Anolis sagrei: one gene and its partners. The protein of the gene in region 1 interacts with the protein of each later gene in a biochemical or structural test. Links are inferred from orthologs where the notes say so. Each region holds a gene or a part of one and is shown on either strand. Other genes may lie near its edges. The genes, in order: BCAR1, PTPN1 and PTPN12.

What was found.
Region 2: the proteins of BCAR1 (region 1) and PTPN1 form a complex in vitro, tested with the Homo sapiens proteins (3 studies listed by BioGRID and IntAct, with this or other methods). The link is inferred for Anolis sagrei from reciprocal best matches to the Homo sapiens genes BCAR1 and PTPN1.
Region 3: the proteins of BCAR1 (region 1) and PTPN12 form a complex in vitro, tested with the Homo sapiens proteins (3 studies listed by BioGRID and IntAct, with this or other methods). The link is inferred for Anolis sagrei from reciprocal best matches to the Homo sapiens genes BCAR1 and PTPN12.

Annotation. Positions count from the first base shown.
Region 1 is NC_090028.1:4,788,430-4,799,753, forward strand, and holds the start of BCAR1 (breast cancer anti-estrogen resistance protein 1), read right to left. Parts: upstream 5,397-11,324; 5' UTR 5,100-5,396; coding exon 5,088-5,099; intron 1-5,087. UniProt on the Homo sapiens protein: Docking protein which plays a central coordinating role for tyrosine kinase-based signaling related to cell adhesion. Implicated in induction of cell migration and cell branching. Involved in the BCAR3-mediated inhibition of TGFB signaling.
Region 2 is NC_090024.1:222,416,735-222,427,389, reverse strand, and holds the start of PTPN1 (tyrosine-protein phosphatase non-receptor type 1), read right to left. Parts: upstream 5,221-10,655; 5' UTR 5,036-5,220; coding exon 4,817-5,035; intron 1-4,816. UniProt on the Homo sapiens protein: Tyrosine-protein phosphatase which acts as a regulator of endoplasmic reticulum unfolded protein response. Mediates dephosphorylation of EIF2AK3/PERK; inactivating the protein kinase activity of EIF2AK3/PERK.
Region 3 is NC_090025.1:85,807,301-85,818,341, forward strand, and holds the start of PTPN12 (tyrosine-protein phosphatase non-receptor type 12), read left to right. Parts: upstream 1-5,943; 5' UTR 5,944-6,171; coding exon 6,172-6,270; intron 6,271-11,041. UniProt on the Homo sapiens protein: Dephosphorylates a range of proteins, and thereby regulates cellular signaling cascades. Dephosphorylates cellular tyrosine kinases, such as ERBB2 and PTK2B/PYK2, and thereby regulates signaling via ERBB2 and PTK2B/PYK2.

The DNA of each region.
Region 1 (11,324 bases):
TCTGCATGCATGCACTACTCTGGTTCTGCTGCCATTGACTGGACATGATGTCCTGTACACAAAACTCCTTCCGCAAGCATAGCACAACTTAAGGAGGCAACACCAACACAGCAAGTAACCAAACATGGTATTTGGTGCTGCTTGCTCCCCATGGCACATAATTGCCAAATCCTACGGATACAAAAGTACAAACATATATTATGTACTAGCTGTCCCCTGCCATGCATTGCTGTGGCCCACATGGGGGTTCTGTGTGGGTTTGGCCCAATTCTATCGTTGGTATGGTTCAGAATGCTTTGTGATTGTCGGTGAACTATAAATCCTAGTGTTCCCATTTCGACATATTGAGTATTCATGTAGAGTTTGGTCCAGATGCATTATTGCTTGCGTCCACAGTGATCTCTGGATGTAGGTGAACTACAACTCCAAAGCCAAAGGACACTGCCCACCAAACCCTTCCCATATTTTCTGTTGGTCATGGGAGAACTGTGTACCATCGTTGGTGGGGTTCAGAATGTTCTTTGATTGTAGGTGAACTATAAATCCCAGCAACTACAACTCCCAAATGAGAAAATCAATTTTGTGAGTGAAGGACATACATTGGGTTGTTAGGTGTCTTTTGTCCAAATTTGGTGTCAATTCGTCCAGTGGTTTTTGAGCTATGTTAATCCCACAAACGAACATTACATTGGGTTGTTGTAGGTTTTTCTGGGATATGGCCATGTTCTGGAGGCAATTTTTCTCCTGACATTTCGCCTGCATCTATGGCAAGCATCCTCAGAGGTAATGAGGTCTGTTGGAAGTAGGAAAAATGGGTTTATATATCCTTGGAATGACCAGGGTGAGACAAAGGACTTTTGTTTGCTTTCATTTATATAGATGATGATTATTATTATATAACTCCCATTTTCCCAGTTTCCAACAAACCTCACAGCCATAGATGCAGGTGAAATGTCAGGAGAGAATGCTTCTGGAGCATGGCCATACAGCCCAGAAAACTCACAACAACCCAGTGATTCCAGCCACGAAAGCCTTCGACAATACAGGGATAGAACACATTCCCCCTAGAATCATAGAATCTTAGAGTTGGAAGAGACCTCCTGGGCCATCCAGTCCAACCCCATTCTGCCAAGAAGCAGGAATATTGCATTCAAAGCACCCTCAACAGATGGCCATCCAGCCTCTGTTTAAAAGCTTCCAAAGAAGGAGCCTCCACCACACTCCGGGGCAGAGAGTTCCACTGCTGAACGGCTCTCACAGTCAGGAAGTTCTTCCTCGTGTTCAGATGGAATCTCCTCTCTTGTAGTTTGAAGCCATTGTTCTGCGTCGTAGTCTCCAGCAAAAGGAATTAAGAGCGACAACTGTCCTTCCTTTGGGTGGCCAAATAATCCCATCTCCCTTCACTAAAGCATGATTTCATAGGCTTCTGGTAATTTGATCCTGCTGAGGATCAAAACCTCCAGTTCGCATTATGAAAAGGGGGTCTTCGAGGGGCTTTGGCACAGCTCGGCACGCAGACTGAAGTCTATCATAGTGCCTGCTCCCAACTTCTTTCTCTCCCTTCTTCTCAAAGGTGCCACGACAGCCTTTCGTATGGTGATATTCCAAACTAAGATAGTTATATCTTTGACATATCATTCTTTTCGTTCCTCCAAAAAGGCAAAGCGTGTTCCCAGTGACCCTTTCCTTTCCAGAGCGAAATGGGAGGGCTTTCCCAGAGCAGTCCGCCCTCATTTCCCCCCTCTTTTTTTCTCCCGGCTTGGTTCTTTTTTCCACCTTGGCTGATTTTGCCTTGCGAAGGGAGCTTTCCCAATGTCTTGGGGGCCTCAGGGTTTCGACACAGTGGGGCCTAGTTTGTTGTGATTCAATCTCAACTCGGTTGGAGTTTCCTCCTTGAGTCGAAGGGAGGGCCAAAGGGCTTGGGAAGCAAGTAACCCTTTGGCATAATTAAAAATGTAATGTTCAATGTATTGTCGAAGGCTTTCATGGCTGGAATACAGTTCAGAAAACTCACAACAACCCAGTGATTTTGGATTGTGAATGTTGTTGTTGGCCTCCTTGATTAGCACTCAAAAACAAGGGAATACCAGACAAGAAACCATCAGGGCCAGCAAATCACCTCCCAACAAAGGATTCCCCCCAAGCGGTAAGAAGCCAGACCTTGAAACTGCTAGGCCATTAAATGCCAATCAAGGTGGCCAATTGAAACATTCATAAGTACCTCAAACAGACAAGAGTTCTTTCTCCCACCTTGGACATTATTCCAAAAAACCTCACAACCTCCGAGAGATGCAGGCGAAACGTCAGGAGGGAATGCTTCTGGAACATGGCTAGACAGCCCAGAAAACACACAACAACCAGTGATTTGGGGTTGTGAATGTTGTTGCTGGCACTAGAACAACACTCAAAAACAGGGGAAATCCAGACAAGAAACCATCAGGGCCAGCTAATCACCTTCCAACAAAGGATTCCCCAAAGCGGTAAGAAGCCAAACCTTGAAACTGCTAGGCCATTGAATGCCAATCAAGGTGGCCAATTGAAACATTCGCATCTACCTCAAACAGACAAGAGTTCTTTCTCCCACCTTGGACATTATTCCAAAAAAACTCACAACCTCTGAGATATGCAGGCGAAACATCAGGAGAGAATGCTTCTGGAACATGGCTAGACAGCCCGGAAAACACACAACAACCCAGTGATTTTGGGTTGTGAATGTTGTTGGCACTAGAACAACACTCAAAAACAGGGGAATTCCAGACAAGAAACAATCAGGGCCAGCAAATCACCTCCCAACAAAGGATTCCCCAAAGCGGTAAGAAGCCAAACCTTGAAACTGCTAGGCCATTGAATGCCAATCAAAGTGGCCAATGGAAACATTCGCAACTACCTCAAACAGACAAGAGTTCTTTCTCCCACCTTGGACATTATTCCAAAAAACCTCACAACCTCCGAGGATGCCTGCCGAAACGTCAGGAGAGAGATGCAGGCGAAACGTCAGGAGAGAATGCTTCTGGAACATGGCTAGACAGCCCAGAAAACACACAACAACCAGTGATTTTGGGTTGTGAATGTTGTTGTTGGCACTAGAACAACACTCAAAAAACAGGGGAATTCCAGACAAGAAACCATCAGGGCCAGCTAATCACCTCCCAACAAAGGATTCCCCAAAGTGGTAAGAAGCCAAATCTTGAAACTGCTAGGCCATTGAATGCCAATCAAGGTGGCCAATGGAAACATTCGCAGCTACCTCAAAGAGACAAGAGTTCTTTCTCACACCTTGGACATTATTCCAAAAAAACTCACAACCTACGAGATATGCAGGCGAAACGTCAGGAGAGAATGCTTCTGGAAAATGGCCAGACAGCCCGGAAAACACACAACAACCCAGTGATTTTGGGTTGTGAATGTTGTTGTTGGCCTCCTTGATTAGCACTCAAAAACAAGGGAATACCAGACAAGAAACCATCAGGGCCAGCTAATCACCTCCCAACAAAGGATTCCCCAAAGCGGTTCGAAGCCAAACATCAGGAGAGAATGCTTCTGGAACATGGCCATACAGTTCGGAAAACTCACAACAACCCAGTGATTTTGGGTTCTGAATGTTATTGTTGGCCTCAAAAACAGGGGAATTCTGGACAAGAAACAATCAGGGCCAGCTAATCACCTCCCAACAAAGGATCCCCCAAAGCGGTAAGAAGCCAAACCTTGAAACCGCTAGGCCATTAAATGCCAATCAAGACAGCCAATTGAACCATTTGAGCCCCCAGTGGCGCAGTGGGTTAAACCCCTGTGCCGGCAGGACTGAAGACTGACAGGTCGCAGGTTCAAATCCGGGGAGAGGCGGATGAGCTCCCTCTACCAGCTCCAGCTCTTCATACGGGGACATGAGAGAAGCCTCCCACAAGGATGATAAAAACATCAAATCATCTGGACGCCCCCTGGGCAATGTCCTTGCAGACGGCCAATTCTCTCACACCAGAAGCAACTTGCAGTTTCTCAAATCGCTCCTGACACGGAAAAAAAACCTACCTCAAACAGACAAGAGTTCTTTCCCCCACCTTGGACATCATTCCACAGGTATATAAACCCCATTTTCCTAGTTTCCAACAGACTTCACAACGATAGATGCAGGCAAAACGTCAGGAGAGAATGCTTCTGGAACATGACCATACAGCCCAGAGAACTCACAGCAACCCGCTGTTCTATCCCTCTTTGCTTCCCATCTGTGTTTTTTGAAAATTCAGAATAATATGTATATATTAGGAAGGGATTAAGGTTGGTTAAAAGAATGAAGGGAAACAGAACCTCATTCTGGGAGAAAGGCCGGATATAAATCCAACAGACACACTAAGGAAATACATAAAAATGGGCGCCGGTTTCCATCCCGGGCCAAAGAAGTCCGACCTTGGCTTGAGGAAGGACGCAAAATCCCGAAAGCACACAAATGCACAAAAAACACACACAGAGAATACACACACACAGTCCCATCTTCCAAGGTCGAAGTGCCCAGAGCCTTGGCTTTCTCTTTTTTCTCCAAGGCATCTACATTGGGGAATAAATGCAGTTTAGTATCAGTTTAACCATGCTAAGGAATCTTGGGAGTTGTAGTTTGGCAAGACTCCAACAGAGAAGGCTCCAGACCTTCCCAAACTATACCTCCCTGGATTCTCTTCACCATTGAGCTGTGGCAGTTAACAGTAGTGTCACAAACTGCATTGAGGACAAAGTCAAACCTTTCCAATTTGGATCTGTCTTTCCTTTCTCTCAAAGATGGGGCCAACACTAGGGAGGGGGGGGGTAGAGAAGAGATTGAAGCCTAAAACGTTGGCTAGAGAAGAGATTGAAGCCCCCCCCCCCCCCCAAGAGAAGGACTAAGGGGCCAAACCCTTTCCTTCCTTGGAAAGCAGAGCCTTCCTCCTTGCCTACCCAAAGCGCATTCCGTGCGCCCTGGCCTCCATTTGGAGAGGTCCTGGGGGGACCCAAAAGGGAAGGCTCTCCCTCGCCAGCCCGGCGACCCAGCCCCACAAATGACCCACCGATGGATAGCTAAGAGCCCCCTCTTTCCCCCCACGTCGCCCTTTCCTCACCAGGTAGTTCATCTTCCCGGCCAGGCCGCGCGCAACGGAGGGGCGGCCGCAGTGACCGTGCGCCCTTAACGCATCGTCCCAGGCTCGGTTCTCTTCCTCCTCCTCTCCTCCTTCTCCGACGCCTAAGCCCGGCGAGTGATGTAAGCCAAAGGAGGGGAAAAAGAGAGCAGAGAAAGCAGGAGAGTTGCTGGCTAGGACGCCTCTTCCATTGGCTGCTCGGGAGAAAAGGAGGCGGCGCCGGGAGGCAGCGATGGGACGGCGGGGAGAGGCTGCCTCCGCCTGGCACCCGGCAGGGATGGCGGGCCAAGGAGGAAGAGGAGGGAGGGAAGGAGGAGGGCCAAGGGGAGGGCGCCTCTACGTTGCCCCCGCCTCCAACTCCTCTCTGCCTGCCTCTCCAGCAAGGGACAACGGGCAGGGATCCGCAAAGGTCGCCTAGTCTGACCCCCAGAGCAAGCAAGAGAATATCCCTGCTAAGTATGCACAGAGTATGATTGTCATTATCATTCACAGGGAACCAGAGGTTCCCAGAAGACATCACGGCTCTGTTTCACCATTGCCTCACCACCAGCTACTTTCAGTGGGACAATGAGTTCTATGAACAGAAAGATGGAGTAGCTCTGGGGAGCCCTCTCAGCCCGGTCATAGCTAATTTCTACATGGAACACTTTGAAGAACAAGCCCTGGAAACAGCAACCAAAAAGCCCACGATATGGTTCAGAGATGTGGATGACACCTTCACCATTTGGAGCCACAGAGAAGAAGAACTCAACAGGTTCCTGGACCATCTGAACAGCATCCACCCAAACATATGGTTCAGATATCTGGATGACACCTTCACCATTTGGAGCCATGGAGAAGAAGAACTCAACAGGTTCCTGGACCATCTGAACAGCATCCACCCAAACATATGGTTCAGATATCTGGATGACACCTTCACCATTTGGAGCCATGGAGAAGAAGAACTCAACAGGTTCCTGGACCATATTAACAGCATCCACCCAAACATATGGTTCAGATATGTGGATGGCACCTTCACCATTTGGAGCCATGGAGAAGAAGAACTCAACAGGTTCCTGGACCATCTTAACAGCATCCACCCTAACATCCAGTTCACTATGGAAAAAGAAAATGAAGGAAGACTGCCTTTTCTAGATGTCCTCGTCATCCGCAAACCAGATCAACAATTGGGTCACACCGTCTACAGAAAACCCACACACACAGATAGATATCTACATAAAAACTCCAACCATCACCCAAGTCAAAAAAGAAGCACCATTAAAGCCTTGGCAGACCGTGCAAAAAGGATCTGCGAAGCCCACCTCCTCCAAGATGAACTGAACCTCAACTGGGCTCTCCAGGCCAATGGAAACTCCACCTCAGACATCGGAAGAGCTGCAAGACAACCGAGAAGAAGCCACAAGAGTCAAGATGAAGATCCACCCAGAGGAAAAGTGTTCCTGCCAGACATCAAGGGAACCACTGATCGCAGAGGGAAGCTGATGAGGAAACACAACATACAAACTATCTACAAACCCACCAAGAAAATCCAACCAATGCTATGTTCAGCAAAGGACAAGAGGGATCCTCTCACTTCTGCAGGAGTCTACCGTATACCATGCAGCTGTGGACACGTCTACATAGGGACCACCAAACGCAGCATTGCCCAAACACGCATCAAGGAACATGAAAGGCACTGCAGACTACTTCAACCAGAGAAGTCAGCCATAGCAGAGCACCTGGTGAACCAGCCTGGACACAGCAGATTATTTGAGAACACAGAAATGCTGGACCACTCTCACAACCACCATGTCGGACTACACAGAGAAGCCATTGAAATCCACAAGCATGTGGACAATTTCAACAGAAAGGAGGAAACCATGAAAATGAATAAAATCTGGCTACCAGTATTAAAAAAACTCTAAAATTACAACAGCAAAACAGCAGAGAGTAAACAATCAGGCACATCAAATCACCTCTCAACAAAAGATTCCCCCAGGAACTTCCAAGCCATTAAATACTAATGAAGGTGATCAGTTGAAACATTCACACCTAGCTCCAGCACACAAGAGTCCTTTGTCCCACCCTGGTCATTCCACAGATATATAAACCCATTTTCCTAGTTCCAACAGACCTCACTACCTCTGAGGATGCTTGCGAAACGTCAGGAGAGAATGCCTCTAGACCATGGCCATATTGCCCGAAAAAAACCTACAACAACCCAGAGTGTTGGGTACTTTGTGTTGTAGGCCTGAGCATGCATTATATCATTGCTATTGTTGTCGTCATTTTTAACAGGATATCCCAGAGGGTTATGTAGTCTAATCCAGGAGCAGTGCAAGGCAGAGAGTTAGGTACTGTGTGTTGTAGTCCTGAAGATGCACAGTGTATCATTGCTATTGTTGTTGTTGTTCACCGGGATCTCCAAGTGTCATCTAGTCTAGTCCAGGAGCAGTGCAAGGACGCCTCTACGTTGCCTTCCCAGTAAGGGAGAATGGGCAGGGATCCCCAAAGGTCGCCTAGTCTATCCCCAGGGCAAGCAAGAGAGTATCCCTCCTAAGCATGCACAGAGTATGATTGTCATTATCATTCACAGGGATCTCCAAGGGGTATCCTGTCTAATCCAGGAGCAGTGCAAGGAAGAGAGTTGAGTACTGTGTGTTGTAGTCCTGAGCATGCATTATATCATTGTTGATGTTGTTGATGTTAATAGGGATCTCCAAGGGCTATCCAGTCTAATCCAGGAGCAGTGCAAGGAAGAGAGTTTGGTACTATGTGTTGTAGTCCTGAGCATGCATTATATCATTGTTGTTGTTAACAGGATATCCCAGAGGTTTATGTAGTGTTGAGATTAACTTCACAATTCAGCAGCAGATCAGTTGCACAACTTCAGCGCTTTCCAGTAGCTTCTTCCTGCACAGTATTTTCAGTCAACTGCTCCCACAACCTGCAGTCACTCTGGAACCTTTTACAGACACTTGAGCACATGCCTGGCCATTGTCAGTTTTACTATTGTCTTTCCCCCAGTCTAGATGACATTACAAACTTACCACAGCACACAGTTATATCTTGTCTTAGCAGACAGGTTCTTTTAATCAATTACATAGAGCCTTTGACGAACAACATCACAGCACAAGGAGAGATATACACTGTACATGACTTCCTTATATACAATTCTATACAATTACACATAGCAATCTCTGATTGGTTCCCAACTCATTAACTTAACTCAGACCCAGGATTACATCATTCACAATCACCTGGACTAGGCCAGAACACATTCCCCAAATGAAGTTCCCTTTATACAGTTAATGCATGACTCAGCATTTCCAATAGAAGCCCATTAGCAGTGCATGACTCAGCTATAATACATTACAATACATTGTAAAACCTGACATGTAGTCTAATCCAGGACCAGTGCAAGGCAGAGAGTTGGGTACTGTGTATTCTAGTCCTGAAAATGCACAGGGTATCATTGCTATTGTTGTTATTGTTCACAGAGATCTCCAAGAGCTATCCTGTCTAATCTAGGAGCAGTGCAAGGAAAAGGGTTGGGTGCTATGTGTTGCAGTCTTGAAGGTGCACAGTGTATCATTGCTGTTGTTGTTGTTCACAGGGATCTCCAAGGGTCATCTAGTCTAGTCCAGGAGCAGTGCAAGGACGCCTCTACGTTGCCTCCCCCTCCAACTCCCCTCTGCCTGCCTCTCCAGTAAGGGGGAATGGGCAGGGATCCCCAAAGGTCGCCTAGTCTGACCCTTAGGGCAAGCAAGAGAGAATCACTCCTAAGCATGCACAAAGTATGTTTGTTATTATCATTCACAGGAATCTCCAAGGGGTATCCAACTAATCCAGGAGCAGTGCAAGGAAGAGAGTTGGATACTGTGTGTTGTAGTCCTGAGCAGGCATTATATCATTGCAATTGTTGTTGTTGTTTGTTAACAGTGTTCTCCAATGGCTATCCAGTCTAATCCAGGAGCAGTGCAAGGAAGAGAGTTGGGTGCTATGTGTTGTAGTCCTGAGCATGCATTATATCATTGCTATTGTTGCTGTTGTACTCCTGAGAATACACAGAGTGCTGCTGCTCTTGTTGTTGGTACTAGGAACACCCAAAGGTCACCTAGTCTAACCCACTATCTCTAAAGCACTTTAAAACCATTTCAGATAAATGTTTTTGATGCGATTGTTTCTTTAAATGTTTATTTACCAATGGTTCAATAAATAAACAAAAGTAATTGTTTATTTAACTGTTGCTTTGATTGTATTCTGTTTTATAGTCAGCACAGTTGAACACCTCTGGGTGTTTCCCACATGGAAAGCTTTAAATAGCCTTAGGGCTCTGTTCCCATGCAGCTTAAACCAGGTCTGGTGATGGTTGATCACTGCTGTGACAAGTCATTTCAGTAGGCAAGATTCTCCTTCCCAGTTATGCAAGAACCAGTAGCAAGCAATGCATGCATGTATCCACACTGCAGAATGAATGCAAGTTGATACCACGTTGAGTGCCCTGGCTCCATGCTTTGGAATTTTGGAAGTTGTTGTTTCACATGGCTTTTCACCTTCTGTGCCAAAGAGGGCTGGTGCTTCTCCAAACTACAACTTCCAGGGGACTATGGGACTCTGGTGGGAGGGATAAGTGGGTATGTTTTCTATATCATGATTTCTATATTTCTATATTTCTCCCTGTGTGCCTGACCTTTTCCTGACCCTTTTGCCCAATTCCCCTTTACTGAAAAAATGTATAAAAATATAAGAAGCCACCCCGGTGACCCTGGAAAGGAGGAAATCCTCTCTGGATGTAGGTGAACTACAACTCCAAAACCAAAGGACAGTGCCCACCAAACCCTTCCAGTATTTTCTGTTGTTCATGGGAGTTCTGTGTGCCAAGTTTGGTTCAATTCCATCGTTGGTGGAGTTCAGAATGCTCTTTGATTGTAGGTGAACTATAAATCCCAGCAACTACAACTCCCAAATGACAAAATCAATTTTTTTGAGTGAAGGACATACATTGAGTTGTTAGGTGTCTTGTGTCCAAATTTGGTGTCAGTTCGTCCTGTGGTTTTTGAGTTCTGTTAATACTACAAACGAACATTATATTGTTATGTATATAGATTTAAGTCGTTGACGTGCTGGCTGATACCCAAACAGGGGATGAGCTGGAGATGTCTCTGCCTTGGTCCTTTCACTATTGGCTGCCACTTCCCGGCGGATGTCAGGTGGTGCAATACCGGCTAAGCAGTGTAATTTCTCCAGTGGTGTAGGGCGCAGACACCCTGTGATAATGCGGCATGTCTCATTAAGAGCCACATCCACTGCTTTAGCGTGGTGAGATGTGTTCCACACTGGGCATGCATACTCAGCAGCAGAGTAGCACAGCGCAAGGGCAGATGTCTTCACTGTATCTGGTTGTGATCCCCAGGTTGTGCCAGTTAGCTTTCGTATGATATTGTTTCTAGTGCCCACTTTTTGCTTGATGTTCAGGCAGTGCTTCTTGTAGGTCAGGGCACAGTCCAGAGTGACTCCCAGGTACTTGGGTGCGCTGCAATGCTCCAGTGGGATTCCTTCCCAGGTAATCCTCAGGGCTCGGGATGCTTCTCTGTTCTTAAGGTGAAAGGCACATGTCTGTGTTTTAGATGGATTAGGGATCAGTTAGTTTTCCCTGTAATAGGCAGTAAGAGCACCTAGAGCTTCGGAGAGCTTCTGTTCAACCATCTCAAAGCTCCCTGCTTGGGTGGTGATGGCACGATCATCAGCATAGATGAAACTCTCTGTCCCTTCTGGCAGTGGCTGGTCATTTGTGTAGATGTTGAACATGGATGGAGCAAGCACGCTCCCCTGAGGCCGGCTGTTCTTCTGTTTCCGCCATCTGCTTCTCTGGCCCTGGAACTCAACAAAAAAGCTCCTGTTTTGTAGCAGGTTTCCTATGAGACGGGTGAGATGGTAGTCCTTTGTGATCTACAGAGACACTCGCTGGAACACCTCAGCAAGCAAGAGTCCAAAAGTGGCAGGCTCAAACCCAGCACCTCAATCCATGGGTGATGCCAGATGAGAGACTCCCCCCTGGGCACACAGAAGACTGAGCGACTTGGTGGGCGCTGAACAGACTGCTCTCTGGCACCACGAGATGCAGAGCCAACCTTCAGAAATGTGGCTACAAAGTGGAATCCACGACATGCGAGTGTGGAGAAGAGCACACCACTGACCACCTGCTGCAATGCAACCTGAGCTTTGCCACATGCACCA
Region 2 (10,655 bases), on another chromosome or scaffold:
TTGCACGCAGAAGGGGAGATCTGCAAGACAGTTGTCCCCAGAAGCCTCGTCTATGGAGAAGGGAGGGAGGATGTCTCAGGGAGGGTGACAAATGGGGCATCTGCACTGTCAAATGGATGCAGTTTGACACCATTTGAACTGCCATGGCTCAGTGCTATGTGATCCTGGGTTTGGAGTTTGATTGGGCACCAACACTCTTCGGCAGAGAAATGTCAAATTATGTACAACTTCTATGATGTCAAATTACACTCATTCTACAATGTTTATGTACCCCAAGATGGAAAAGAGTACCCTTGATTTTTTATTCTCTTATAGGGCTACATTTAATGTAGATTTAATGTGGTTTGACTTCAGTTTAAACCGTTGTGGCTCAATGCTATGGATTCAAAGGAGCTGTAGTTGCGCAAGGCCTTTATCCTTTTTGGCCAAAGGATAGGAGTTTGCTGGTGCCTCATGAAAATTACAACTCACACAATTTCATAGCATGGAGCCAGGGCAGTTCCAAGTGGTGTCAAACTGCATTAAATCTACTGCGGATGCCTCTTATAATTGGTAGGGAAAATAATAATAATAATAATAATAATAATAATAATAATAATAATCTTAAGATAATAAGAAACAACTGGAAAAGCTGACACTATATGAGGATTTAAAGATCAAACTGCAAAGACTCTGGCACAAACCAGTCAAGGTGGTCCCAGTGGTTACAGTGCCTAAAGACCTTGGCCTGTACTTAAACACAATCGACACTGACAAAATTACCATCTGCCAGCTGCAGAAGGCCACCTTCCTGGGATCTGCATGCATTATTCTCTGATACATCATACAGTCCTAGACACTTGGGAAGTGTCCAACATGTGATCCAATACAACAGCCAGCAGAGTGATCTTGTCTGCTATGGATTCATCTTGTTATGTTTCAAATAATAATAATAAACTTTATTTATATTCCACCACCTCTCCACAAGGACTCAGGGAGGTTCACAACAGAATCAAAACACAATATATATATGTAAGCAAAATAAATCTAAAATACCTTGTAAAACTACAAAGTCTATGATTCCATAGTATTGAACCATGGCAGTTAAAAAACTGCTAGAAATAACATGAAAAAATATTTTTATTTTCAGAGATATTGCCAAGAATGCAATGCATGACCTTTGGCAGTAAAAAAAAAACATGAAAAATACGATTTTCAGAGATACTGCAGTGAAAAAAAACCATGGAAAATATTGTGAATTTCAGAGATATTGCAGTGAAAAAACGTGAAAAATATTATAAATTTCAGAGATATTGCGGTGAAAAAACATGAAAAATATTATGAATTTCAGAGATATTGCAGTGAAAAAATACATGAAAAATATTATGAATTTCAGAGATATTGCCAAGAATGAAGTGCATGCCCTTTTCCAAGGGAAGGTAAAAAGAAGAGTCCCACCACACTTTCATGCATGGAGGAAACCATGAAAATGAACAAAATCTGGCTACCAGTATTTTAAAAAAATCTCTAAAAATAGGACAGTAAATAAAGAACAACACTCTGAAAACTGGGGAATTCCAGACAAGAAACAATCAGGGCCAGCTAATCACATCCCAACAAAGGATTTCCCTAGCCAGGATGCAGCCAGGCCTTGAAGCTGCAAGGCTTTTCAATGCTAACCAAAGGTGATTAATTGCAACATTCACGGACAATAATTCTTTTTCCCACTCTGGACCTTCCACAGACATATGGAAACTAAATATATTCTAGGTTCCAATATATCTCCCAACCTCTGAGGATGCCTGGCCATAGATGTGGCCGAAACGTCAGGAGAGAATGCTTCTCGAACATGGCCATACCACCCAGAAAACTCACAACCACCCAAATAAAAGACCTTGTAAAACTAAGAAGTTTATGATTACATAGCATTGAACTATGGCAGTTGAAAGACTGCTAGAAATAACATGAAAAAATATTATTATTTTCAGAGATATGGCCAAGAATGCAGTGCATGTGCCATCTTCCATTTATCTATCTAAATAAAAATGTTATGTTCGTTTGTGGGATTAACGTAACTCAAAAACCACTGAACGAAATGATACCAAATTTGGACACAATACACGCATCAGGCCAACGAGTGACCATCACTCATAAAAACACTGAAAAGCACAAAGAAAAGAGACTTAAAAGTAAAAATAAATAAATAAAAAATATGTTACAACGCATGTGCAAATCGACATATATAAATGCAAACACGCATATATACACATATACACAGATATATACACACAAAAAACACATATACACAGACTGGGCCACAGCAGCGTGTGGTAGGGGACGGCTAGTCTATATAAATAAAAAACTAATGTTTGTTTGTGGGACTAATTTAACATAACTCAAAAGCCACTGGGCGAATCGACACCAAATTTGGACACAATACACGTATCAGGCCAACAAGTGACCATCACTCATAAAACACTGAAAAACACAGCGGAAGAGACTTAAAAAGCCAAAAATAAAAAATATATTACAATACATGTGCAAAACCACATATATACGCAAACACACTCGTATATATACACATATACACAAATATATACACACATATACACACAAAACATGTATACACAGGCTGGCCACAGCAACCCGTGGCAGGGGACAGCTAGTTACATATATAAACACAAACACACATATATGCACATATATATATTTATTTATTTATCATATTTATATACCGCCTCTCTCAGCCCAAAGGCAACTTGAGGTGGTTTACATTCGACAGTCAATGCCTCCAAACAACATTAAATACAGTTAAAAACATTACATATAATATAAACCGTATAAAAGCAATAAAAGCCATAAAGTCCTCAGCGTCTCATCACTAAAATCATTTTTCTGTTGCATCGTCCAATCGTTCGGTGGATCTCAATTAGTCTGTTACACTGTGTCTGCAAATGCCTGCTCAAACAGCAGCTCTTTTGAAATGTTAGGAGGGAGGGGGGCGATCTACTATCCCTAGGGAGGCCATTCCATAGTCGAGGGGCCACCGCTGAGAAGGCCCTGTCTCTCCCTGCCAATTGCATCTGCGAAGGGGACGGGACCGAGAGCAGGGCCTCTCCAGACGATCTTAAGCACCTAGATGGTTCATAGGGAGATATGTATAAACATACACACAAAACACATATACACAGACAGGGCCACAGCAATGTAGCCGAGGGGCCACCGCTGAGAAGGCCCTGTCTCTCGTTCCTGCCAATCGCATCTGCGAAGGGGGCGGGACTGAGAGCAGGGCCTCTCCAGATGATCTTAAGTGCTTCATAGGGGGAGATACATAAACACACACACAAAACACACATACACAGACTGGGCCACAGCGACGTGTGGCAAGGGGCGGCTAGTGGGAAGATAAAATGAAGAGTCCCATCACACGACTCTCTTTCGAAGTGTTATATCCCTAGGGAGGGCGTTCCATAGCCGAGGGGCCACCGCTGAGAAGGCCCTGTCTCTCGTTCCCGCCAATCGTATCTGCAAAGGGGGCGGGACTGAGAGCCTCTCCAGACAATCTTAAAGTGCCTAGATCAGTGGTTCTCAACCTTCCTAATGCCGCGACCCCTTAGTACAGGTCCTCATGTTGTGGTGACCCCCAACCATAATGTTATTTTTGTTGCTACTTCACAACTGTAATTTTGCTACTGTTGTGATTCATAATCTAAATATCTGATATGCAGGATGTATTTTCAGTCACTGGAACAAATTTGGCACAAATACCCAATATGCCCAAATTTGAGTACTGGTGAGGTTGGGGGTGATTGATTTTGTCATTTGGTAATGCTGGAGTTGCTGGGATTTATAGTTCACCTAAAATCAAAGAGCCTTCTGAACTCCACCAATGATGGAATTGAATCAAACTTGGCACACAGAATTCCCAAGACCAAGAGAAAATACTGGGAAGGTCTGGTGGACATTGACTTTGAGTTTTTTGGAGTTGTAGTTCACCTACTTGTAGAGAACACTGTGGACTCAAGCAATGATGGATCTGGATCAAACTTGGCACAAATACTCAATATGCCCAAATGTGAACACTGGTAGAGTTTGGAGAAAATAGACCTTGTCGTTTGGGAGTTGTAATTGTTGGGATTTATAGTTCACCCACAATGAAATAGCATTCTGAACCCCACCAACGATAGAATTGGACCAAACTTTCCACACTGAACCCCCATGACCAACAGAAAATACTATGTTTTCTGATGGTCTTTGGTGACCCCTCTGACACCCCCTCACGACCCCCATGGGGGTCCCAACCCCCAGGTTGAGAAACACTGGCCTAGATGGTTCTTAGGGAGAGATACACAAATACACACACAAAACATATATACACAGTCTGGGTCACAGGGGATGGCTAGTGCAAAGATACACACTTTCACACAATCCCTTATCAGCAGCTATGTCAATGCAAGCACCCCATAAACCAGGTATGGGCAAACTTGGGCCCTCCAGGTGTTTTGGACTTCAACTCCCACAATTCCTAACAGCCTACCGGCTGTTAAGAATTGTGGGAGTTGAAGTCCAAAACACCTGGAGGGCCCAAGTTTGCCCATAGCTGCCATAAACCAAGGGCAGGATGAGTGGGGGCTTGCATCTACTGGGTTTGCACTTGCACACACTGGAGTGGATGGGGAAAGTGGGTCCTGGGGGTGAGAAATGGGGAGGAGACCCATTTCCAAGGCCAGGAAAGCCAGGGCAAGAAGGCGAGAGGGAAAGGAAGGGAAGGGCCGAGCTTTGTCCAGCTTGAGAAGGCGGGGAAAGGGTGAGACAATGGGGTCCAGTCCCCTTTTACCTGGTAGATGGCGGCCCAGCTGTCTGCCTCGTCCATCCGGTGGAACTCCTTCTCGATCTCCATGCTGTTGGGGGGCCAGGCCTGGCCGGCCCCCTTCTTCTTCTTCTCTGCTCCTGCCTCTTCTCGTTCGGACCCTGGTTTTTCCTTCTCCTCCTCCTCCTCTTCTTCTTCCTCCTCCTCCTCTTCTTCCAGCCTCGGCTCTGCCTGCCTGCTCTGCATGGAGAGGCGCCTCCTCTTCCTCCTCCTCCTCCTTCTTCTTCTCCTCCTCGGCTCCGCTTCCCTTCTTCCTTCCCTTCCTTTCCTTCCTTCCTTCCTTCTCTGGCTTTTCCCAGCCCACGGGAAACGACGCACGCGGCTCGGAGGAGGAGGAAGGGGAGGAGAGAAGCCCGGCCTCCCGGAGAGAGAAGCAGCAAGAGGAGGGTTTAAGAGAAGGCTGGGCTTCTTTGGGAGGAAGGGAACAGGGAGGGCCAAGAGCCACTGACGCCACGCAGCCGCAAAGCCAAGGCGTCAAGAGCGCCTCTGGGCATGTGCAGACTGCCCACTCTCAGCCCACAATACTCTACAAGAGGCATGAGCAAGCTTCAGCCCTCGAGGTGTTTTGGACTTCAACTTCCACAATTCCTAACAGCCTACCGGTCAGTATGATCCTACAGCAGGCATGGGCAAGCTTGAGCCCTCCAGGTGTTTTGGACTTCAACTCCCACAATTCCTAACAGCCTACCGGATCATACTGACAATGTGTTGCCCCGGAATAGCAACATTGTCTAGCCCTTTCCTTAGACCTGAAAATGAAGAAAGTGCTGTATACAAAATTGCCTTCCTTCATAATCATATGACATTATTGTAAAAACTCAGCAAAGAGTACAGATACTAAACAAGAACGTTAAACAAGCCACGAGAGTAAAGACAAAGGGTCCTTCCACACAGCCCTATATCCCAGAATATCTGCTTTGAACTAAGGGTCTGTCCACACAGCCCTATATTCCAGAATATCAAGGCAGACAATCTGTGCTGGTACAGCTGTACCAGGAGCTTCAATTCTGTTTGCTTTGCATTAAATGTTTGTTTGCAATCCCAGGCTTGGGCTTTTGCAGCAGGGTGGCTTCCTGTTATAGTTTGCAATCATAAGGCAAGCCACCTGTCAGTTATAGTTAGGTTCCCTGGTCCCACTCCTTTTTGAGTTTTGGAGGGAATAGTAGCCTTTTTGAGTCAGTTCTCACAAAGAAGCCTTTCGCACAGGACATAAAACGAAGAGCTCCTGTAGAAAGCTTCATCTTCTACGGCTTAGCCGGGGAGATATATAGCCTACAGCCTGACTGGAGTTATACAGCCTTACAGCTCCTCTGCTGAGGGACTTCAGCCAGCCATCACAGCAACCTGGACTCCTTCTTTTCCCCTGGAAGTCTACAAAGCTCTGTCTGGTAAGGGTATCTCGCGGAAGCCAGAAGCAGTTGGTACCGGGTGTAGAGGCTCTATGCCAACAGAGGCAAGTACAGACTGCCCAGATTAGAAGTTAAGGATTTCCCCATTAGTTAATTACAGTTAAGAAGATAGTGCCTGTTCCCTGTGGACAAGATTGAGAGAGAGCCAATAGACTGTTAAGAAAGCTTTAAAGTACCTGTTTGTTTTCATCAATAAAGAACTTTGTTGAACCTTTAAGCAATCTAAAGACTTTGTTTTGGGGAGGCCTTTAATCTGAGGCAGACCCGGCGTCCCGTTGGGCACACAGAATTTATGTCCTGTCTACAGTCTTATGCACAGGCCCAGTGTGCGATAGCACAGTGAGTACCTTAAAAACAAAAGAACTAATGAACAAAATTTGGCAGCAAAAGGTCTCACAACACAAGGAGTGACCATCACTCAAAAAATTATGATTTTGTCATTTGGGAGTTGTAGTTGCTGGGATTTATAGTTCACCTACAATCAAAGAGCATTCTGAACTCCATCAACAATGGAATTGAACCAAACTTGGTACATAGAACTCCCATGGCCAACAGAAAATATTAGAAGGGTTTGGTGGGCATTGACCTTGAGTTTGGAAGTTGTAGTTCACCTATATCCAGAGAGCACTGTGGACACAAACAATGATGGATGGACTAAACTTGACACAAGCACTCAATACGCCCAAATATGAACACAGATGGAATTTAGGGAAAATAGACCTTGACATTTGGGAGTTGTAGTCACTGGGATTCTCAGTTCACCTAAAATCAAAGAGCATTCTGAACCTCACGAATGACAGAATCGGGACAAACTTCCCACACAGAACCCCCATGACCAACAGAAAATACTTAAGGCCATCCAATCCAACTCCTTTCATCAGGGCAAGAAAACGTAATCAAAGTCCTCCTGACAAAGAGCCATCCAGCCATAGATATAGATAGATAGATATGATTGACACACAGATATAGTATCATAGATTTGAAAGAGACCCCTAAAGAAGGACAATGATATCTTGCATGTTCCAGGGTGGGCAAACCAGACATTCTCCACATCAACACTGACAAAGAAACAGCAAGAAATACTGTTTATCCACAAGCATAAAGAAATCACATATATTAGAAACCAACACTTTCTCATTACTTTATTTTCGAGATCAACAGACTGGGCTACAGCAATGCGTGGCAGGGGACAGGTAGTAATAATCAAGAATGTTAAACAAGCCACGAGAGTAAAGACAACAGGTCCTTCCACACAGCCCTATATCCTAGAATATCAAGGCAGAAAATCCCACAGTATTGGCTTTAAACTGGGTTATCTGAGTCCACACAGTCATATATTCCAGTTCAATGTGGCACAGCTGGCTGGGAGTCACTGCATTAAGATCACTACTGACCAAAGGGTCATGAGTCCAAAGCCAGCCCAGGTCGGAGTGAGTGTCTGACCAATTTGTGTAGCTTGCTGCCGATCTTTGCAGCCCGAAAGACAATTGCATCTGTCAAGTAGGAAATTTAGGTACCACCTACATGGGGAGGCTAATTTAACTAATTTACAATGCCATAAAAATCTCCAGCAAGCCTGTAAAGAATGAGGAAGTACTTTATCAGTGTCACAAATGGATGGTGAAGCAACAGCTCCCCTGGTGGCCAGAACACCCTCATGAAAAATTGGAATGTTAAATTGCCTCTGTGTCTGTCTATATATGTTGTGTGTCTATGGCATTGAATGTTTGCCATGTATATGTACATTGTAATCCGCCCTGAGTCCCCTGCGGGGTGAGAAGGGCGGAATATAAATACTGTAAATAAATAAATAAATAAATGTAGTCCCTATGTGGACTTGTCCACAGCTGCATGGTATAAACATTAGACTCCTGTCCTTTGCAGAACTTAGCATTTGTTGGATTTTCTTAGGGCACTTCCACACAGCCCTATATCCCAGAATATAGAGTATAGGTTGTGTTTCTTCATCAGCTTCCCTATGTGGTCAGTGGTTCCCTTGATGTATGGTAAGAACAGATAACCCAGTTCAAAGCAGATATTGTGGGCTTTTCTGCCTTGATATTTTGGGATTTAGGGCTGTGTGGAAGGGTCCTGGGTTATCTGAAGGCCTTTTAACATAGTCCTAGATCCCAGAATATCAAGGCAGAAAATCCCACATCATCTGAGTGTGGATTCAGATAACCCAGTTCAAAGTAGATATTGTGGGATTTTTTGCCTTGATATTCTGGGTTATAGGGCTGTGTGGAAGGGCCCAGAGATCCACCCAGGGGAAAAGTGTTCTTACTATAGCTCAAGGGAACCACTGACCGGATTTTCTGGTATTTCCTTTATGGTGCCATAAAATACCTCTCCGCTTAAAGCAGTGCCTAATTTCTCTACTCACAGCACACAGCTGTTTTTCAACTGTTTAGGTGGACAGTAAGCTGGGCTGAAGGTTGGGTGCTCACCCCGACCTGGGCTTCAAACTGCCAACCTTTCAATGGATAAGATCTATTGCAGCTGGTGATTAACCAGCTGTGCTAAAGCCTGTTGTTTTGAATCACACCCTCAGACTCAATGAGCCATGAAATTGACAAAAGAAGCACCAATGTATTGTCCCTGTGTACATTTGCACTGTACAATTAAAGCTGTTTAGCATAATTTTAAGTGTCCTGGCTCAATGCTATGGGATTATGGGGGCTGTCATTTCACAAAGTCTTTAGCTTTCCCTAGCAAAGAGTGCTGGTGCTTCCCCAAACCGCAACTCCTAGATTCCATTGTAATGAACTGTAACAGTTGAAGAGTCATAGTCCAACTCTAAGACCACCATAGTATGCTGATTCTTAAAACAAACAAACAAACAAACAGAGAGACAGACAAATAAATCTTCATTTATATTTCGCCCTATTTCCCCGAAGGGACTCAGGACGGATTCCAATCACAAAAAAAGGCAAACATTCAATGCCTGAACAGAACAAGTAATAGACACATAAGAACAAAAATTAAACTCCACTTACTACTGAAATTCCTGGAAATCATCAAAGACAAGGTGCTGAGGGAATTCACAAAACATTTTCCTGTGGCTTGTTCATTTTTAAAAAAAATCATTTGACTCTATAAGCTGCTAATCTTTGGTACAAAACACACACTTCTCCTGTCTTCCAAAGGAGATGATAAGATGTTGGCAGCCTGGGCCACAGAATGTCCCTGCACTTTATATTATTTTTCTATTCTTTAGGCAGTATCACCATTACAGTCCATAGTGATTTGCAAATGCAAAAGAAATTGAGTTATCCTTGCTTAAATTATAATCGCAACATATTGGAGTTATACCTTTATTGTCGGACACAGCGAATTATGGTCAACATTTTACAGGGAGGGGAGAGGTTCCTTTATTGGACTTCTAACTGCTATAATAGCAATCTTTTAAAAAGGATTGTTGGTTTTTGCTTTTTAGTTTCAGTTATCATATGGGAAAAGCAACAGAAAACAGCTGTAACAAGGAGTGCTTCTTCTCTGCCCATGCTCAAGAAGCTACAAAGTTAAACTTCACACGAATTTGGCAAACGTTGTTAGTTACTAGGGCATTACAAGCTTGAGAAATTAAGGAGGCTTCAGTTGGTATAAATATCTGTATTTGAGGAAATGTCCAAGGACAGTTGATAAGCGTTGAGAACTTGGCCTCAAAAAACATAAGGTTCAGGCACACATTAAGACAGGGGTGTAAAATTACCCATAGACTTAAAAGCTTTGCACGTATAAATAAAATTCCCTGGGTTGCGCTCAGTGAGCTTGAACACAGACTTCAAACCAGAATGGTTCTGTGTATGTGGCCCAGTGAATGGATCTCTCTTCTACCATACCAGTGCCCTCAACAACTAAATGAAGATCTTGAGACTTTCCTGCTCCTTTTTGTATATACCAACCATATGCCCTTTTCTGTGAAAGTTGGTAAGAAAGCTTTAAAGCTTACCCATGGGTGTGTGGTTATTCTTCTTGATGCTAAAAGAACCTCTTGCCTTTGGCAAACCAGTTGGTTGTAATGCGTTATAGTTAGTCTCCTAGTTACAAACATCAGACTCGGTTAAGAATGGGTCTGAGACAACCGGAAGTGAGAGAAATCCACCTCTTGGCAGGGAAATTCACTCCTGAAAGAGTTATCATGGGGAAAAGGTGTCTCCACTGAAGCTTTTTCACCAATCCTTGCTTCCACAACAAACCACATTTTTCAAAATTCAATTCCTACAGGGACAAAAAGTGAGGTGAAATCTTCTGAACAGGGGCACGGATTGCAAAACAAGCACCACAGGGGTGTTAACCTTTCATGTAGCTGGGGGGGGGGGGGCTTGGGGGGCTTCAGCCCCCCCCCCCTAATTCTCATGGTGGTCCGTGAAAAGGCCTTACCGGTGCATTATTTA
Region 3 (11,041 bases), on another chromosome or scaffold:
TGCTGGCGTATGGCATGCATCATCTTGACAGCATCATCTTTCAAAGTGTTAAATAGTTCAGCTGGGATCCCGTCGTCTCCTGCTGCCTTGTTGTTAGCAATGCTTCTTAAGGCCCATTCAACCTCACTCCTCAGGATTTCTGGTTCTAATTCACTCACCACGCCATCAAAACTATCCTCAATATTATTATCGTTCCTATACAGATTTTCTGTATAATTTCGCCACCTTCTCTTGATCTCTTCAGCTTCTGTTAGGCCTTGCCATCTTTGTTTTTTAGCACGCCCATTTTTTACTGAAATTTACCTCCAATGTTTCTAGTTTTCTGGAAGAGGTCTCTTGTCCTTCCTATTCTGTTGTCTTCTTTCACTTCCATGCATTGCTTGTTTAAAAATAGTTCCTTATCTCTCCTGGCTAACCTCTGGAATTGTGCATTTAATTGGGCATATCCCCCCCCCCCCCATCACTGTTTCCTTTTGCTTTCTTTCTTTCTTGGGCTACTTCCAGTGTCTCAGCAGGCAGCCAACTTGCCTTCTTGGTTTTCTTTTTCTTTGGGAAGGACTGTGATAGATAACCTTTTAACATAAACACTTACTGTCCCTTAAATAAAGGGGCAGACTAATGTTGATTGTATACTCTGTTGTCCATGCATACGCAAGGATGCATATGTCCTTATAACAAAGTTTTTTAATGTTATATCCAGGTATTGAATGTTTGCCGTTTATAAGCTGAAGATTAATCCCGACAGAGGTCCTCTTGGTCAATCGTAAACCAGATCGGGGTATAGGGTGGCAACCTGTGTTGGACGGGGTTGCAGGTCACAGGTCCGAGGTCCGCAGTTTGGGTGTCCTCCTGGACTCATCACTTAGGCTTGAAGCTAAGGCGTCAGTGGTGGCCGGGAAGGCCTTTGCACAACTAAGACTTGTGCGCCAACTGCGACCATACCTCGTGAAGGCAGATCTGGCTAGGGTGATCAATGCCTTAGTCACCTCCAGATTGGATTACTGTAATGCACTCTACGTGGGGCTACCCTGATGCTCCTTATAGGGAGAGGTCAACCCTCCTGTTTAAGGAGCTCAATTGGCTGCCGTTCATTTTCCGGTCCCAATTCAAGGTGCAGGTTCTTACCTACAAAGCCCTAAACGGTTTGGGACCCGCCTATCTGCGTGACCGCATCTCTGTGTACGAACCCACACCTCTTTGTTCATCTGGAGAGGCTCTACTCACGATCCCACCTCCATCGCAAGCGCAATTGATGGGGACGAGGGATAGAGCCTTCTCGGTGGTGGCCCCTTGACTCTGGAACTCGCTCCCCAAGGACATTAGGCTGGCCCAACTCTGGCAGTCTTCAAGAGGAGCCTGAAAACGTTGTTCCAGTGTGCCTTCCCAGAATAAGGAAACCCTAAGCAACATGCCCCTAATCGCACTTTACTAATGATCTAGGATTGTCTGCTCGCTCCATCTCTCTCCAAATACCTATCCTAGTTATATGTCACCTTGTCACGCCCAGCATTTTTAAAAAAAGATTAATTATTACATTTGACCCTGCCATAGGTTTTTAATGCGTTGTTGTGTTATTGTTACTGTTTATTGGTTTGTTTATGAGTTAGTTTATTGTCTGTATTATTGTTGTTGCTTTTTACTGATGTATTTAGGCTCGGCCTCTTGTAAGCCGCACCGAGTCCTTCGGGAGATGGTAAAAAGGTAAAGGTAGTCCCCTGACATTAAGTCCAGTCATGTCTGACTCTGGGGTGTGGTGCTCATCTCCATTTCTAAGCCGAAGAGCCGGTGTTGTCCGTAGACACCTCCAAGGTCATGACTGCATGGAGCGCCGTTACCTTCCCGCTGGAGCGGTACCTATTGATCTACTCACATTTGCATATTTTTGAACTGCTAGGTTGGCAGAAGGTAGGGCTGACAGCGGAAGCTCACGCCGCTCCCCGGAATTGAACCTGTGACCTTTCAATCAACAAGCTCAGCAGCTCAGTGCTTTAACCCACTGCACCACCGGGGGCTCCCTTTCGGGAGATGGGAGGATTATTATTATTATTATTATTATTATTATTATTATTAGGAGTGTGTTGATGTTACTATTAGAATCAGAGTAAAGTTGTGATGCAAGCTCCTTATATTACCTGTTAACTTTTCAGATCCAAATCATGCAATCTGATATTAAGTACATACATTTGGAAGAAAGACATAAGGAAGTAAATGTGACAAAATTTGGTTCATATTTGTAAAAGTAACGCCTGCTTTCTCTATGCTGCCAAAATAATGTGAACAGACTTGTGGAAAGAGATCTACTGAAAATAATGGAAGGAGCTATGAAAATGTTACCTGTAATATTGTACCTCTAATACGGAAACCTAGGCAAGTCATCACTATACTGGTGTGAACCAAGTTTTATTTGCAAAGCAATATGTGTGTGTTTCCAGACTTTGACAGAACATTGACCCTCATGTTCCCTTTATTAGTACAGATTAGTACAAATGCAGTGTACTTACTTGTGCCTTACTAACATTGCTTATTGTGTTTGGCTTCAATTGCCTGCTTCCTGAAGAGCAAGAGAGAAATAAACTTTATGTTTCAAACTTATAAACTGCCTGGTACAAAAGGTCAGCAGGGTTGCATACCATAGCAGATGCCCAGTATAACTGCAAGTTGGGAGGCAACTCTGTGGATGTAATTTAAAGCTGCTATAGTCTAAATTTTAAAAAAAATGTGAAATTGAACTGTACGTTGCAGAAAGTCTAGAGACATAATATACCGATAGTAGCACTTTTTCTTTGTTGTAGTCGTGTCTATAACTTAAAAGCACCACTGAGTGTGAGAATGCACTCGTAGACTGTCATCCCGTTTGGATATCAGCCAGCACGTCAACGACTTAAATCAAGAAATAGTTTTCTAAGATCTACAGAGACACTCGCTGGAACACTTCAGCAAGTGAGAGTCCAAAAGTGGCAGGCTCAAACCCAGAACCTCAATCAATGGCTGATACCAAATGAGAGACTCCCCCCTGGGCACACAGAGGACTGGGCGACTTGGAAGGCGCTGAACAGACTGCGCTCTGGCACCACGAGATGCAGAGCCAACCTTAAGAAATGGGTCTACAAAGTGGAATCCACGACATGCGAGAGCGGAGAAGAGCAAACCACTGACCACCTGCTGCAATGCAACCTGAGCCCTGCCACATGCACGATGGAGGACCTCCTTGCGGCAACACCAGAGGCACTCCAAGTGGCCAGGTACTGGTCAAAGGACATTTAATCAACTACTCAGCTCGCAAACTTTGTGTTTTGTTTGTTTCTTTGTTTTGTTAAAGAATGCAATGCAACTGGTCTGCCCCTGACACGATAAATAAAATCTGCTTCCTTGCAGAGTCTACATTTGAGATTATTATTATTATATAGCCCGAAAAACCTACAATATCCCAGTGATTCCAGCCATGAAAGCCTTCGACAATACATTGTCCCCTTTCAGTTTGGCTAATGCAGTGGTTCCCAGATGTTTTTGCCCTTAGAATCATAGAATCAAAGAGTTGGAAGAGACCTCATGGGCCATTCAGTCCAACCCCCTGCCAAGAAGCAGGAATATTGCATGCAAATCACCCCTGACAGATGGCCATCCAGCATCTGTTTAAAAGCTTCCAAAGAAGGAGCCTCCACCACACTCCGGGGCAGAGAGTTCCACTGCTGAACAGCTCTCACAGTTCTTCCTCACGTTCAGATGGAATCTCCTTTCTTGTAGTTTGAAGCCACTGTTTCGTGTCCTAGTCTCCAGGGAAGCAGAAAACAAGCTTGCTCCCTCCTCCCTGTGGCTTCATCTCACATATTTATACAGCCTTCTCTTCTTCAGGCTAAACATGCCCAGCTCCTTAAGCCGCTCCTCATAGGGCTTGTTCTCCAGACCCTTGATCATTTTAGTCGCCCTCCTCTGGACACATTCCAGCTTGTTAATATCTCTCTTGAATTGTGGTGCCCAGAATTGGACACAATATTCCAGGTGTGGTCTAACCAAAGCGGAATAGAGGGGTAGCCTTCAACTCCCAGAAGTCCTAACAGCTGGTAAATTGGCTAGGATTTCTGGGAGTTGTAGGCCCAAAACATCTGGGGATCCCAGGCTGAGAACCACTGTGCTAGTGGTCCCCGTTGGAGGTCGCCTCTAACCCAGAAAGACTCAGCCTCTGTTGTCGAAGGTTTTCAGGGTGGGACAAAGGACTCTTGTCTGCTGGAGCTAGGTGTGAATGTTTCAACTGACCACCTTGATTGGCATATAATGGCCTGACAGTGTCTAGAGCAAACTTTTGTTGAGAGGTGATTAGATGTCCTTGTTTGTTTCCTCTCTGTTGTTGTGCTGTTGTAATTTTAGAGTTTTTTTTAATACTGGTAGCCAGATTTTGTTCATTTTCATGGTTTCCTCCTTTCTGTTGAAATTGTCCACGTTTGTGTATTTCAATGGCTTCTCTGTGTAGTCTGACATGGTGGTTGTGAGAGTGGTCCAGCATTTCTGTGTTCTCATATAATATGCTGTGTCCAGGTTGGTTCATCAGGTGTTCTGCTATGGCTGATTTCTCTGGCTGAAGTAGTCTGCAGTGCCTTTCATGTTCCATGGTACCTCTCTATTCTGTTTTAGTTAGACCTCGCCGGCAATACTGTGCCCAATTCTGGACACCACAGTTCAAAAGAGATATGGAGAAACTGGAAGGTGTCAAGAGAAGGGCAACTAAAACGATCAAAGGTCTTGAGACCATGAATACCTATGAGGAGTGTCTTAAAGGGTTTCATATGTTTAGCTTGCAGAAGAGAAAGTTGAGAGGAGACATGATAGTCGTGCATAAATATGTGAAAGAATGTCATAAGTGGGATCAAGGAAAATGAAAGGCACTGCAAACTATTTCAACCACTATTTTCAATCAAGAAGTCAGCCATAGCAGACCACCTGATGAACCAACCTGGACACAGCATAGAATCAAAGAGTTGGAAGAGCCATCCAGTCCAACCCCTGCCAAGAAGCAGGAATATCGCATTCAAATCACCCCTGACAGATGGCCATCCAGCCTCTGTTTAAAACCTTCCAAAGAAGGAGCCTCCACCGCACTCCGGGGCAGAGAGTTCCACTGCTGAACGGCTCTCACAGTCAGGAAGTTCTTCCTCATGTTCAGATGGAATCTCCTCTCTTGTAGTTTGAAGCCATTGTTCCGCATCCTAGTCTCCAAGGAAGCAGAAAACAAACTTGCTCCCTCCTCCCTGTGGCTTCCTCTCACATATTTATACATGGCTATCATATCTCCTCTCAGCCTTCTCTTCTTCAGGCTAAACATGCCCAGCTCCTTAAGCCGCTCCTCATAGGGCTTGATCATTTTAGTCGCCCTCCTCTGGACACATTCCAGCTTGTCAATATCTCTCTTGAATTGTGGTGCCTAGAATTGGACACAATACTCCAGGTCTGGTCTAACCAAAGCGGAATAGAGGGGTAGCCTTCAACTCCCAGAAATCCTAACAGCTGGAAAATTGGCTAGGATTTCTGGGAGTTGTAGGCCCAAAACATCTGGGGATCCCAGGCTGAGAACCACTGGGCTAGTGGTCCCCGTTGGAAGTCGCCTCTAACCTAGAGAGACTCAGCCTCTGTTTTTCTCTACTCCCCCCCCCTTCCTCCTTTCCTATCTCTACCACCTCCCCCCCCCCCCCTTAAATCTCATTGGTACATCCCAGCCTCCTGCTCAACAAACACTGGAAGATCCCTTCGGAAGAAGGGGGAACAATTTAGGGGTGGGGAAGAAGAAGAAGAAGAAGGAAGTTTCTCCAGAGGTAGGAAAGGGAGGGGGAGGAGGAAGAGGGCGGGACGGGCGAGCCGCTGGGCCAATGGCAGCGACCTTCGGGGCGGGGCATCCAATCGCCGGGCCGCATAGGGAGGAAGAAGGCGGGAGCGCGCGGACGGCACTGCGCCTGCGCGGGAGGAAAAGGCGTGAGAGAGTGTGTGAGGCGGAGAGGAAAGGGGGGAGCGGAGGAAATAGCCGCGTCGCTTCGCGTGAGGGAGGGGATGGAGCGGAGCCGAGCCCTGGCCGGGAAGTTGTGCTGAGGGAGGGAGGAGGAGGAGGAAGGGAGGGAGGCCAGGGCGAGGCGGAGGAGAAGGAGAAAGCCGGGTCTCTTCCGCCCAGAGAGGCCAGGAGGGAGGATGGAGCAAGAGGAGATCCTGAGGAAATTCATCCAGCGCGTCCGGGCCATGAAGGACACCGACCACAATGGGGAGGACAACTTCGCCACAGACTTCATGGTAAGCCTGCTGTGAGGGGAAGGGGGCGCCCAGGGGGAGAAGGCCTGCGGGGGGGGGGGAGGGTGGGGAGGGAGGCTCGAGGCCCTTCCTGGGTGCCTCCCCCTCCCCCTTTCTTTCCCCCTTCTCCATCTCTGAAAGGAAGCTGCTGCATCCTCTTCCCTTTCCTCGCAGCCTTTTCCTGTGGGTGTGTGCCTTTGCTAGGAAGCCTTGTGCAAAAGATAGACACATATTCTGGCTCTTTGCTTCTTTCTCCCCTCCTCCAGAAGTCCCCCCCCCCTTTTTTTTTGAAGGCACGCCTCTACCTTAAGAAGGGAGCAGCCCAGAGGGATTTCTTCCTTTCTGGTTTTGTTACCAGGTACCAAGGAAGGATGTGTGTGGAAATCGGGGATCACCTTCCCCTGCAGTTGGGGTCTATCAGGGCCCCTTTACTACTACTAATAATAATCTGTATTTATACCCTGCTGCCATCATCATCATCATCTTATATAAATAAAAATGTAATAATACTAATACTACTACTACTAATAATAATCTTTATTTATACCCTGCCACCATAATAATAATAATAATAATCATCATCATCATCATCATTATCATCATCTTATATAAATAAAAATGTAATAATACTAATAATACTACTACTAATAAGAATCTTTATTTATACCCTGCCACCATAATAATAATAATAATCATCATCATCATCATCATCATCTTATATAAATAAAAATGTAATACTACTACTAATAATAATCTTTATTTATACCCTGCTACCATAATAATAATAATCATCATCATCATCATCATCACCACTATCTTATATAAATAAAAATGTAATAATAATACTAATAATAATAATCTTTATTTATACCCTGCTACCATAATCTTCATCATCATCTTATATAAATAAAAATGTAATAATAATACTAATCTTTATTTATACCCTGCTACCATAATAATAATAATCATCATCGTCATCATCTTATATAATTTTTTTAATAGTAATACTAATAATAATATTTATTTATACCCTGCTACCATAATAATAATAATATTTATTTATACCCTGCCACTATAATAATAATAATAATAATCATCATCATCTTATATAAATAAAAGTGTAATAATAATAATCATCATCATCTTATATAAATAAAAATGTAATGTTCGTTTGTGGGATTAACATAACTCAAAAACCACTGGACCAATTGACACCAAATTTAGAGACAATACACCTAACAACCCAATGAGTGACCATCACCCATAAAAACACTGAAAAACACAGTGGAATAGACTTTAAAAAGCCAAAAAATAAAAAATACATTACAACGCATGTGCAAAACCACATATATACACAAACACACACATATATATATACACACACATATATACACACACACATAGAATCATAGAATTAAAGAGTTGGAAGAGACCTCATGGGCCGTCCAGTCCAACCCCCTGCCATGAAGCAGGAATATTGCATTCAAATCACCCCTGACAGATGGCCATCCAGCCACATATACACAGATTGGACCACAGCAACATGTGGCAGGGGATGGCTAGTATATAAATAAAAATGTAATGTTCGTTTGTGGGATTAACATAACTCAAAAACCACTGAACGAATTGATACCAAATTCGGACGCAATACACCTAACAACCCAATGAGTGACCATCACTCATAAAAACACAGAAACGCACAGTGGAATAGACTTTAAAAAGCCAAAAAGTAAAAAATACATTACAATGCATGTGCAAAACCACATATATACACAAACACACACATATACACATATATACACACACACACATATATACACAGACTGGGCCACAGCAACGTGTGGCAGGGCATGGCTAGTACATAAATAAAAATGTAATGTTCATTTGTGGGATTAACATAACTCAAAAACCACTGAGCGAATTGATACAAAATTCGGACACAATACACCTAACAACCTAATGAGTGACCATCACTCATAAAAGCACTGAAAAACACAACAGAAGGGACTTATAAAGCCAAAAAAATAAAAAATACATTACAATGCATGTGCAAAACCACATATATACACAAACACATACATATACACACATATATATACACACACATATACACAGACTGGGCCACATCAATGCGTGGCAAGGGATGGCTAGTAATCTATATAAATAAAAATGTAATGTATGTTTGTGGGATTAATATAACTCAAAAACCATTGGACGAATCGACACCAAATTTGGACACAAGACACCTATCAGGCCAACGAGTGACCATCACTCATAAAAACACTGAAAAACACAGCAGAAGAGACTTTAAAAGTCAAAAAAGCAAGAAGATGCTACAGCGCATGCGCAAAAATGACTCCACCTGGCAAACAAAACACACAATAGCATATCCACACTCTCTTCCAGACTACAGCTCCCAGCATCCTCTAGACCAAGCCCTTTAGGAGGGGGGGGGGATCCAAATGCATTGCTTCCAAGCTGCAAGCTTTCTTCTTGGATTTCTTTGAGAGCATCCTAATCCCTGCAGATTTCCAATTACCTATTCTTGGACTGCAACTCTCAGCAATCCTCCAGATAGATAGATTGGAAAGAGATAGATAGATCAGGAGGACTGCTGGAAGTTGCAGTCCAAGAATAGATAGAGAAGGAAGAAAGGGGAGAAAGAGGAAGGGAAAGAAAAAGGGGGATGGAAGAGGAAGAGAAGGAAGGAAGGAAAAAAGGGAAGGAAGGAAAAAAAGAAGAGAAAGAGGGAGGGAAGGTTGACCACAGCAACACCTGGCGAGTACAGCTAGTAATAATAATAAAATCAAACTGCAAAGGCTCTGGCATAAACCAGTACAGGTGGTCCCAGTGGTCATTGGCACACTGGGTGCCGTGCCAAAAGATCTCAACTGGCATTTGGAAAAAATAAACATTGACAAAATCACGATTTGTCAACTGCAAAAGGCCACCTTACTTGGATCTGCGTGCATCATTCGAAAATACATCACACAGTCCTAGACGCTTGGGAAGTGTTCGACTTGTGATACGAAATCCCACATATAGATCTTGTTTGCTGTGACATACTGTGGTTCTCTGTCAGTAAAATAATAATAATAATAATAATAATAATAATAATAATAATAATACACCTCAGCCTGCTTTGAATGGGAATTAGGGTCCTCTTGCCACAACCTCTTCTATTTTTTTCTTTTTAATCATTTTTTTATTATGGAAAGAGACAATTTTTATACATACATTAAAAAAAGATTTGTGTGAATTGGGGGTGGTGGGGGGTGGAGGAAGTAAAGAGGGGAAGGAAGAGGTAGAGGAGCGGAAGGAGATAATGGAGGAGAGAGAAGGAAAGGCGAAAGGGGAGGGATAGGATAGGCCAACCTCTTCTAATTTCATGATCATTATTCCCCTTACGTTTATCCCTGGGCCACTCCTGAAGCCATTTGTTTGTGCCCTTAGATGCGGTCTCAAATTGTATTTATTCAAAAGCTTCCTGTTCTTGCAGGAACAGCCTTTGTACATTAATGAATACATGGCTATATATGCGAGTAGTGGGTGACCCCTAAGAGCAATGTGAGTTTTTGTAACAATTGTTCTGATTGCTTCCCACGGAACCACAAGCCCTCAGTAAACTAATTGGAAATATTAATCTTTGTCTCGGCTCATCTCGTTCAGCTGGGCTGCAAGGCTTTGGCCATGTTGCTATGCGAGATCTGATCCCTTGATGGCTTGGGAAGACACATTCTGATGCAAGTGTCAAATGGAAGGGTTGCCCAAAATGCAAGGAGGCGGCTGCAGGATGTTGCAAAAGACCAAGGGGCTGTTGAAAGATGTGTCAGGTCTGAGGCGTGGAAGAGGAAGTGGACTTTAGGAAGTGGTTTCCTGATCCCGGATGAGGTGGCATGGGAAAGAGGAATGGCTCTTCTGGCTGAAAGGCTTCTATTGTTCCTGAGAGGAATCACAGAGGATCAGGAGAAGAGACGAAGCCTCACAAGATCCTCTCGGATTGAAGTGCTGTACTTCATTTCCACTTAATTTGATACACATTTTCCAAGGCTTCGAATCATGTATTGCTTTTTGAATATTTGCTTGCATCTATAATATAGTTGAGAATACTAGCTATGATAAAGTCTCTGATCACAGCTCTCTTGTTTTATATGTAGTGCAAACATGATTGTAGATACTACTTCATTATCAAGAAAGTCACATAAATGAGATTAGGGAATGCAATCACTTTGTAATCATTGTACTATTAACAAACATTGTACCAAAACCATTATTCCCATACAGAAAATTGTGGAGATTTTAACTTGCTCTGCATGCAATATCATAAAAGATTGCCTGATTACTAATAGTGCTGCGCACCGCAAATTCATACAACAAATAGAAAAAGGGTTAACAAATGGAAGGGTAAGGTGGTTATAGATGTGACACCTCATGATTCCTTTAACACTTATAAATGTGCTGCAGCAAAAGGGACTTGGTTTATCATGTTCAGCAGTCCTCTCCTAAATAATGTATTAATGGGACATTTTGTAAGCCATCTCTTAATAATACAGAGGCTGTTTTAGATCTTTGTCTCGGCTTTGTCATTGCGATGTGAAGATGAAACATTGAAGGAAACATTTTGTTATTTTTATTGTGTTTATGCACCATCTTCCAACTACCAGTGGTTGATTTTCAGGAATCCTCACAACAAAATCGCTTTATTAGGTTTCACAGGCTTGCATTTTCAAAGAAGACGCACATTCCTTTAAAAAAACACCCAAATTTAATCATA